3 linked regions of the Rattus norvegicus genome follow. The protein of the gene in region 3 purifies or fractionates together with the protein of the main gene of each other region. This does not show direct contact. Links are inferred from orthologs where the notes say so. Each region holds a gene or a part of one and is shown on either strand. Other genes may lie near its edges.

Evidence for each region.
Region 1: the proteins of Fbxw8 (region 3) and Cul1 purify together in Homo sapiens (affinity purification with western blotting; 9 studies listed by BioGRID and IntAct, with this or other methods). This does not show direct contact. The link is inferred for Rattus norvegicus from reciprocal best matches to the Homo sapiens genes FBXW8 and CUL1.
Region 2: the proteins of Fbxw8 (region 3) and Ccdc8 purify together in Homo sapiens (affinity purification with mass spectrometry; 3 studies listed by BioGRID and IntAct, with this or other methods). This does not show direct contact. The link is inferred for Rattus norvegicus from reciprocal best matches to the Homo sapiens genes FBXW8 and CCDC8.

What each region holds. Positions count from the first base shown.
Region 1 is NC_086022.1:77,617,806-77,620,620, reverse strand, and holds the end of Cul1 (cullin-1), read right to left. Parts: intron 2,177-2,815; coding exon 2,063-2,176; intron 1,135-2,062; coding exon 1,054-1,134; 3' UTR 633-1,053; downstream 1-632. UniProt on the Homo sapiens protein: Core component of multiple cullin-RING-based SCF (SKP1-CUL1-F-box protein) E3 ubiquitin-protein ligase complexes, which mediate the ubiquitination of proteins involved in cell cycle progression, signal transduction and transcription.
Region 2 is NC_086019.1:86,806,086-86,809,836, reverse strand, and holds the start of Ccdc8 (coiled-coil domain-containing protein 8), read right to left. Parts: upstream 2,231-3,751; 5' UTR 1,726-2,230; coding exon 1-1,725. UniProt on the Homo sapiens protein: Core component of the 3M complex, a complex required to regulate microtubule dynamics and genome integrity. It is unclear how the 3M complex regulates microtubules, it could act by controlling the level of a microtubule stabilizer.
Region 3 is NC_086030.1:44,086,530-44,090,214, forward strand, and holds the start of Fbxw8 (F-box/WD repeat-containing protein 8), read left to right. Parts: upstream 1-845; 5' UTR 846-900; coding exon 901-1,212; intron 1,213-3,685. UniProt on the Homo sapiens protein: Substrate-recognition component of the Cul7-RING(FBXW8) ubiquitin ligase complex, which mediates the ubiquitination and subsequent proteasomal degradation of target proteins.

The sequences.
Region 1 (2,815 bases), on a different chromosome or scaffold from region 3:
TCAACCCCTGGCCTGGGCCCTCCTTCCGGGGACATCCTGGGGTGAATATGGCAGCCTCCTTGGAAAAGCTTCACTAGGAGGGACCTGGAATGAGAGAGATTCTCAGTTCTTACCCACAAGTGGAGAGGGCTGACCATCCTCCCTGGTGGTCAGGGAGTTTCTGATAATTCAGATGACTTTGACCTCAATCAGCAGGCAGCCTCTTACAGGTTAGAACCATAACCTGCTAATAATTAGCTGCCACTTCCTGTCACTAATGGACCTTGGGACTATGGAGGTATGTTGGTTCTACTTCCATATTCCAGCTTCCTAGTGGTAATACAGAACAGCTTCTACACCTGTCTCAGTATTCATTTAGTCCCTGCAGAATCGACAGCAGCAATCTGGAGTCGTCTTCTTTCAAACGCCATACTCAATGGTACTCAAAGAAGTCTCAGAAAATAAGGGGTCAGTGCCCAAAAAGATTTAAGGGCTTTAAAAATTAAGATCTTAATTTCCAATCCAAAGAATGCAGCCCTTTTGGATTCCAGGAAGACACTAGGAATATACACTTGCACAATCATTAAATCTTTTATTTACATAATAGAAATTAGTAAAACTTAAAACAAAACCAAATGCAACTTGTACAGAAATCCTTTAATTTTCTTTATTTTCACACATTAAAAAAATGAAACACACTATACAAATGGTTTTCATAGCAGATTACACGTGGGTCCATTCAGACTCGCTCTCGTGTGCTGCCTCAGACGACAGCTGTTAACCAGGGAGCCAATGTATTGATTTAAGTGCGGTAGCATGCAGCCTCAGCATGGAAGGTTCGGTTCCCCTCTGTCTGTGAGTTAGGGTAAATGGCATTGGCGTCTGTTTACAGACTGAAATGTGTCAGTCCTGAGCAGTCCTGCTGTAGCTTGAGACCAGCTGGTGGAAACTGTGGTCTCAGCTTTAAAAAGGAAGGTCCAAATGGTGGCAGGCTGGCTGCTATGAACTCGAGTTGTTTCCACTTTATTCACTGGAACTATCTGCTCGTGGGTCACGGAGACCCTGCTAGATGGGTTAAGCCAAGTAACTGTAGGTGTCCTTCTCACCATCGACTCGCTCCAAATATTCTTTTTCGATGAGAATATCAATGCATTTCTGGGCATTATTTTGGGAAGAAGAGGGAGTTAAGGGGGAAGAGAAAGGCAAATAACCATCAGGAAAGAGGTCTATCTCTCACCAGTTACCCTCCACTGAGCTCAGCAGGGAGCAGATTCAACCTGTCTACTGTCCTGAATGCAGTCCTTCAGTAACACCTATGGGTGACTGCATACACACCCCACCCCAAACTGCCCTATGCATTAAGAAGGCAAGGGCTCTAGCACATCTAGGTCACAATTTCCCTTTTTAACAAAGTGGCTGCCCCTGGGCAGGACTCTGAAGTCACAGGTTAGAAGCACAGGAGGGGTGAGTCAGAACCTGAAGAACAGGCTAGCAATGGTACTAATAGCTCCTGACCACTGAGGACTCACCATGCACTGCCATCCCTGGGTCTCCACTGGCTGAGGCTTACCCAAGTAGTTTCAGAAAAGGAAAGGCCTGCTGAGTTATTGCCAGCAGAAACTAAGCAAATGTGATCATTAGTGCCCTAGATACAGAGGAGTGTGTCCCTGCATGGCAGCAGAAATGGACAAGTATTTCCTAAAGGCAGCCCAGAATGAATCCCTTCATACTGCCAGACAAGTTCTCAGCAGCAGAGAACATTCTCTCTACACTGCTTCCCACCAGGCAAAGCCAGCCAAGGCTGCAGGGCAGCTCACTGACAGAGAAACACAGGGAGGATAGGGGAGGAACATGTGACCTTTTAGATGCCTGTGACTTAACTCCTTATCAGGATATCAATTATAAAAGCATATTTACGACATGTACATCTCTTATATTTACTTCAAGCATCAAGTTGGCTGACTTTGTTGAAGTTTCTTCTAGTAGTAACCCAATTCCCATTTTCAGGAAACAGCCATTAAGCATTTTGCTACAAGTTTCCTAACAATCAGAAGATATAGCTGCTGCTCTGTAATTCCTGTACCTTGATCACTGGGACCCGAGGTTTGAACCTGGAGGACAGCTGAGTGAGGACTTCACCAAGTAACTGCTGGTGTTTCAGAACCTTCCTCATTTTCATGATTCTTACGATGGCCGCCTATGTAATCAACAAAGAAAAACAGGCTTAGAGCATTAACAGCTGAGCATGAACATTCAAGGCAGCCTGTACGCCTCAGTTCTACTCCATGCTGGGATAACAAGTGTCCTACAGGTCAGAGAGAGTGCAAACAATCAGCTCTATATTTCAGCCCTAACAGAACAAACAAAATGTTATAGCCAAGGGGCTAGAGATTGATGGCTCAGTGGTTTAAGCATACTGAGCTCGGTTCCCACACCTACAGCAGTAGCTCCCAACACTCTTGACTCTAGTTCCAGCAGATGCACCATCCTTTCCTGGCCTCTGGGGACACCAGTGCCCCAGGTGTGCCTACATTTAGACAAAACATGTATAAAAAAATAAATGTAAATCTTAAATATTTTGGCCAACTCTAGCACTAAAGAATAAAGAAAAGATGGATCTCTAAAGCTATAAAAGGTACCTACCCTTGCCCCCACTGTCCTGCTTCTTTAATCTGCCATATATTATCTGTTGCCCAATATTTAGGAAGAAGAGTAGACTGCTTTTGTTTGGTACATGACATACTTCATCCCTCAGACACCAGTGTGCCGCTTCAGGCATCTTTGGCCGTTACTAAGCTGTGTCACTCTGGCAGCTCTTTCCAGTTAGAGCACAGAT
Region 2 (3,751 bases), on a different chromosome or scaffold from region 3:
TGAGGCTTCCAGTATAGCTTGAGGTCCAGCCTCCTCCCTCTGGTCATGGAGGACCCCTGCCCTCTGGTCAGCTAGGACCTCCACCCTCTGATTTTCTGTAGCACCAGTGCTTTGGTTAACTGGGCCCTCTGCCCTCTGACTATCTATGGCTTCTGCCCTCTGGTCAGGTAGAACTCCTGCCCTGAGATTAGCTGCAGCTTCTATCCTTGCACTAGCAGCAGTCTCTGCTCTTGGAGTAGCTACAGCCTCTGCCCTTGGACTAACTGTAGCCTCTGCCCTTGGACTAGCTGCAGCCTCTACCCTTAGACTAGCTGCAGCCTCTACCCTTGGACTAGCTGCAGTCTCTGCCCTTGGACTAGCTGTAGCCTCTGTCTTCTGGTTAACTTCAGCCTCTGCCCTTGGACTAGCTGCAGCCTCTGCCTTTGGACTAGCTGCAGCCTCTGCCCCTGGACTAGCTGTAGCCTCTGCTCTTGGATTAACTGCAGCCTCTGCTCTTGGATTAGCTGCAGCCTCTGTTCTTGGATTAACTGCAGCCTCTGCTCTTGGATTAGCTGTAGCCTCTGCTCTTGGATTAGCTGCAGCCTCTGCTCTTGGATTAGCTGTAGCCTCTGCTCTTGGATTAGCTGCAGCCTCTGCTCTTGGATTAGCTGCAGCCTCTGCTCTTGGACTAGCTGCAGCCTCTGCTCTTGGATTAGCTGCAGCCTCTGCTCTTGGATTAGCTGTAGCCTCTGCTCTTGGATTAGCTGCAGCCTCTGCTCTTGGACTAGCTGCAGCCTCTGGCCTCTGGCTAGCTGCAGCCTCTACCCCATGTTCAGCTGCAGCCCCTGCTCCCTGGTTTTCTGCAGCCTCTGGGGGCTCTTCAGCTGTCCCGTGAGCCGAGGGTGGCACCTGCTCCTTCCTGCATCGTCTCAAGGAGACCCACTTGATCTTGGGCTTCCAGCGTCTAGTAATCAGTGTCTGGTCGCTCAGGTCTCCTGTGTTTCTGGAGCTATCATCCAGGTCTGGGCTGGTGTGGCTGTGTCTCATTTCTCCAGCCCTCTCAGCTATGGAGGACTGCTGGGCCTGGCCCACCTCGGAGCCTGATCTGGGCGCCCAGCCTTTCACCCTCTGTTTCAGCTTCCCCCAGGACACCTGGCTGACATACTCCCGCCATCTGTCCCCCTTGGATGGCTGGGGCCCCAGGTTATTCTCAAACATGGGCACTGGAAGATTGACTCGGCGCCGTGGAGGAGGCGCGCTGGGCTTCTTCTCCCCGCGGCGGAGGAAGGCCTCTACCAGCTCCTGATCATCCTCGCTCTCATCGCTGCCCAGGAATTTGCTGCCCAAGTAACTGACCGGCATTTTGCGCACCTTCCTGGTCTTCCCGGAGCCCCTGTTGCCTTTGACTTTGGATGTATCGAAGTCACTCAACTCGCTATCGCTGCCATTGCTGCTGTCGTAAGTGCCTACAACCAGCCGAAGTGGAGGAGTGACCATCTGCGGGACTCTCCTCACTCTGGGCACCTTGGCTTTTTTGGGGGGCTGGGGTGGATGTGGAGTACTCTTTTCGATGATACGAGCCACATCTTCCAGGGTGCGGCCCTCCTCCTGCAGAAACTGGATCAGCCGCTCCCGAAACACAGCCTCCTTAGTGGCAGGCTTGGAGATGACTCTCCACACGCCCCCAGCCAGCCGGACCTCCCGGGGGATGAGCAGATAGTCAACATCCTCCCCAATCTGCAGCATCCCCACCGTGGAGTCCTCCTCTTTGCGGAACACCTTCCCGATCTTCTTGAAGGTGCCCACAGGCCTTAAGGCCTCCACTAACACATCCAGATCGACATCTTTGCAGACGTCGGGGACACTCCAGAGGATCAGGCAATCGGGAGAGGGGAGGAAGCCCCAGGGGAACCATCCCCCCACGTGGCTTTTCTCGAGAGTCTTTAAGATCTCCAGTGTGGACTCCCGAGTTGGGGGCAAGAAGCCCAGGCTCTCTCGGCTTCTAGTCTTGGGGAGGGAGCAGTGGAGGGTCCCAGCAACTCTGCTCACGCAGTGTCGCCTCCCTGTAATTTTCTCTTCAGGCGACAAGTCCAAGTTGGGTTCCCCCAACCCCCTCGGAGTTGTATCAAGGAGTTTTCCAGGATGCTTACATGAACCGAGGCACGCTTAGTCCCGAGGCTCAAAGCTCAGTCCAAACTGGAATCGCCAGTGTCCCTGCTCCAAGTTGGAAACGCACGAGCTCCGATCGCTGCTCCCTTGCCCCAGACACCGGGATGAAGTTGAAAGTTCGTGGGAGGACTCTGCAGACAAAGATGGCTCAGCGTGGCCGTTCAATATGGCGAGGCGCTTAAAGGCCTCCGCCCAGCCCCGAGGAGGGTCTCCCGCCCCCAGGCAGGCCGCCACCCTCTCCAAACTGACCTTGCGCTCAGTCTGCGGTGGAGCTGAGAGCGGCAGGAAGTTTCTGGGCGCCCTCCCCTCCTGGGTGAGGCCCACCTTCTCCTTCTCATCTTACACTCTAAGCCTGGGAAGACTGGCAGCGGGGCTGTCCACTCCCTTCAGGGCAGCCTCCCTCTCCTCCCCCACAGAGGTGTGGCTGTCCCTCAGAGCCTCACTGGGGCCAGGGCTTCTCTTAGCTACAGCCAAGACCCACGTCATCATCCTTCCCGAAAGGCAACGGGGGTCCCAACCTGCCATCCTTGACCCAAAAGCCCAAGAGGTGTGGGTGCCGATGTCCCAAATCCTTTGAAGGCCATTGCAATTATGAATGTCCGTTTAAAATTAAGGCGATGGAACCAGAGAGGTGGCTCAATGGTTAGGAGCATGGGTTGCCCTTGCAACCCCTTAACCTGGATTTGACTCCCAGAACCCATATGATGGCTCACAACCCTCTGTATTTCCAGTTCCAGGGGATCCAACACCCTCTTCCGATCTCTGTGTGCACTTACATACGTGATTTGCGTGTGTGCACAGAGAATACATTCATGCACATAAAAAGGGGGCCCACAAGATAACTCGGTAAAATGGGGTTGGGGATTTAGCTCAGTGGTAGAGCGCTTACCTAGGAAGCGCAAGGCCCTGGGTTCGGTCCCCAGCTCCGAAAAAAAAAAAAAAAAAAAAGAACAAAAAAGATAACTCGGTAAAAACATGCAAGCCTCATGGCCTGAATTTAATCCCAGCATCCACATAAAACCAACTCTATAAAGTTATTATTCAGTCTCCACATGTGCACCCCTACACACAGATTATACACATATAAATTCACACACGATGAAAACGTTTTTAAAATAAAATCTTTTCTTGGGGCTGAAGAGTCGGCTCCTTGGTTAAGAGCACTGGCTGCTCTCTCCGAGGACCTGGGTTCAGTTTCCAGCACCCACATAATAGCTCACAACCATCTGTAACTCCACTTATAGGGAATCCAACACTCTCACACTGATATACATCAAAACACCAATGCACATAAATATTTTTAAAGCAAATCTTTCTCTTTTTTAAAAAGATTTAGTATTTTATGTATTTTTGTACACTGCTGCTGTCTTCAGGCACACCAGAAGAGAGCATCATATCTCATTACAGATGGTTGTGAGCCACCATGTGTTTGCTGGGAATTGAACTCAGGTCCTCTGGAAGAACAGCCAGTATTCTTAACCTCTGAGCCATCTCTCCAGTCCCAAATAAATATATTTTTAAATAAAAAATAAAACATTTTCTAAAAATAAAAAATCTTTCATTTCACAGAGAAATGCCTTCAGTTCTTAATTTATGTGTCCCA
Region 3 (3,685 bases):
CCCAAGATGAACCATAATTATATACTCTGGACTAGCAACATTCCAACCTCCCCACAGTGACTGAAATTCTGATCAGTTAAGCAGACTTGCAGAAGGTTCAGTGGGAGGTAGAGGTTCTTTCCAGAACGTTCCTTCACAGATCCTCCCCCCACCCCAAGACCGCCTTTGGATTTGTAGTCCTGGAAATCTCTGCTAATTTCCCATGGCAGGTTTTTCTGTTTATCAGCTAGAACGGCATTTCCTTAGAGAGACCTTCATGACTACCCTTCATCACTAATTGGCTCCTCCCTCTGTCAATCACGCTGTTATCTGACCTTATTTCTTATATTTCTATATAATCTTACCCGCGGATTCAGACAAGCCCATTAAAAAATGTTTACCTCTGTTTTATGTGAATGTAAATTTTTAAGAAGGCAGAGATATTTATTTGTGTGTGGTATGTGTAGATGTGAATGCTTACTTCAGGATGAGCTGGCTCCGCAGAAAAGAGTGCTTGATGTCGGGCCTGACGACTTGAGTTCAATCTCTGAGACCCCACTTGGTGGAAGGCAAGAATCGACTCCTTGAGTCGTTCTCTGACACACACACACACACACACACACACACACACGCACACACACTCTAAATAAAATGCAATAAAAACTACTACATTAAAAATGCTACCTTTGCAATATGTATACAGCAGCCATTTAAAACCAGGTTTGCGGGACGAAGGAAAAATGCTTCCTTGGTACAAAGGTGGCAAAAGCCAGGGATAGCAGAGCGGAGGGGCGTGGCTGCCCGGAACCTAAGAGCCGCGGTTCCGGAAGTCTCCAGCCGACTACGGACACTTCCGGCGGATGGACAGTCCGTCCACAGCTGGCTGCCCCTGGGTGACGCGTAGGCCTGGGAGCGGCAAGCATGGAGGACCATAACCTGGAGGAGTTCCGCCAGCGCTGGCAGGAGGAATTGGCGCAGTCGCAGGCGCTGAGGCGACGGCGGCGGCTCGAGGCTGGGGAGCGGCGGCCCCGGAGACCGGAGGCGGGAGCGCGCGGCGAGCCGGCCTCGGGGTACCTGGGGCTGGCGCAGGGTCTGCTGGAGGGCGCGGGCCGACCCCCGGCGCCCAGGCCCGGCCGGACCGACAGGAAGGATGTGTCCAGCCGTTCGCGCTCACCCCCGGACCGCGACGCCGCGGAGCCCGAGCCGCTGGTGGACCAGCTCATCCGCGACTTGGTGAGTGACAGAGGCGAGATGGCTTTCCCTGTGGCCCACCCTGTGGGGTTAGGGGCGCAGGTACAGCAGGGATCCTGCACACCCAGGTAATCCCTGGAAGCAGTGGTTCTCCTCTGGCAGCTTTGCCTGTAAACATTTTAGGGTGTTGACAGTAGGTGTGCGCGCGGTCTTGGGCTTGCAAGAGGGTAGAAGAATGCTCGCAAACACCAATGTTCAGGACACCCTCTCCCCACCCCGCAAAGAGAATCCACCCATAAAGGACTGCGGATGAGTTTGAGAAATCCTGCCCTAGAAACGTCCTTAACCTGTCAGAAAGGTTGACTCTGGAGAGGGAGGTTAAGAAAAAGCAGAGGACGGAAATTATGCTCACTTTTCTCTGTATTCTTTGATTTTCCTAACGTAACGTGTTACTTAAAGAAAAATAGCAACCATAAATCAGAAGGAACGAAAGGACTATGGCGAAGAAGAATCCTTTGGTCAGCATTTTTAGGAGGCCTTTGGAGGGCATGGGTCTCTTGGAGAATCAGGAAACCCTTTTCCCCAGCCTCATTTACCAAGTCGATAGAATCAAATCAAGAACCCCTAACATGGATCCATGGCTTTCAGGTTAAGAGTTAGGTCAGAACAGAAGGTTTTAATGGTTTCACTCAAACCAGGTTCAAAGAACATTTCTTTTCTTTTTTTTTAAGTTTATTATATTTTATTGTGCCAAAGAACAATTCTACAGTTCAGTAGGGAATACTTTTCCGTGAGTGAAAGTTGTTTAGAGGAATAACAGGATCAAGCTGGAGAGATGGCTCCGTAGTTAAGAGCGCAATATGCTCTTCTGGAGTTGGGTTTCTGGTACCCATGTCAGGTGGCTCACGACTTCCTGAAACTGCGGTTTCAGGATATTTAATGTCTCTGGCTTCCATGGACACTTGCACACATGAGTACAGCCCCCCCCCCCCAACACACACACACAGACACATACTTTTTTAAAAATGGTTAACTTTATGCAATGGAAAGTTTTGTTTAAATGCTTCTACATTGAGTTTTAAGGCCATCTTTCTTTTAAACGAGTGTCTGGTGCTCTGCCTTGATTCTATAGTAGCCATAATATGAGGTAGATAACTATTTCCTTTTACATACGGACCCCAAGGCAATGGTATTTTTATTTAAATTTTATTTTATTTCTTTTTTTCAATTTGCTTAGAATTACCCAACTGAGAAATTCTGGGGATTGAATTTGGATTCCTGTGTTTTAACTTCACCAAGTGAAGCTTGAGTTCCCCGACCCCCATCCCCCTGGCCTTAGTGTAGGTTCCTGAGTCCTCTCAGACCTGCTAAGCAGCAGCCTGGGGAAGTAGCTCATCTGATGACTGAGAACCCGTGGGGGTTTAGATACCGTCAGCTGTGTAGCCTCTGTGCTGGCTAGTTTTTACGTCAACTTGACACAAGCCAGAGTGACTGGAAAGGAGGAGCCTCAACTGAGACGATGCCTCCGTAGGATTGAGCTGTAGGCAAACCTGTAGGGCATTTTCTTAATTAGGGATTGGTGGGAGAGGGGATGGTTCATTGTGGGTAGAAACACCCATGGCCTGGTGGTCCTGGTTTCCATAAGGAAGCAGGCTGAGGAAGCCAGTAAGCAGCACCTCTCCGTGGCCTCTGCAGTAGCTCCTGCCCCAGGTTCCTATCCTGACTTTCTGCAGTGATGGACTATGATGTGGAGATATAAGCCAAGTAAATCCCTTTCGCCCCTCATCTTGTTTAGGGTCATGGTTTTTATTACAGCAATTAAAAACCTTGACTAAGATAGACCCGAAATCCTAATACACAAGACTTTCCAGCCTCACACTCAGGCAGCACTCCAGAATCAGAAATAAAGTGTCAGGGACCTAGGAGGAAGGTCCAGGGCATACCAGACTCTTAAGTTTCATATGGAGTTGGCAAAAACCTTCCCTGTGTCTTGTCCCAGGGGTGAATGATAGTAGGCTCCTCTGCCCAGCCAGAAGCACCACACTAGGAACTGTTTTGGTTTCTTCTGAGCAGCAGCCAGCTCTCCAATTAGTGACATCTGTACAAAAGAAGACGCCATGGGTCATTGTGTGCTCAGGTGACTGGAATTACACAGGTTGAGCCACCTGACATGGGTGTTAGGAATAGAATTTGGGACCCTTGGATGACAGATTCTGCTCTTAACTATCAAGGTGTCACTGTGTACCTTAGACTGGCATTAGATTCTTTCTTTGCCCCCCAACCCCCGTGTGTGTGTGTGTGTGTGTGTGTGTGTGTGTGTGTGTGTATGAGAGAGGAGGGTGGTTGAGATTTCCTGTAGATGTCTGTGCGCTCAGCCTGCATGTGGAGAGCAGAGGACAGCCCCGGATGTTGACCCTCAGGCACCTCCACATTTTATTTGGCTTGGAGCGTTGTCACAAAGCCCAAGCTAGCTGTCCCTTGCACTTCCAGACATTTGTTTCTTCTCTCTTCCCAC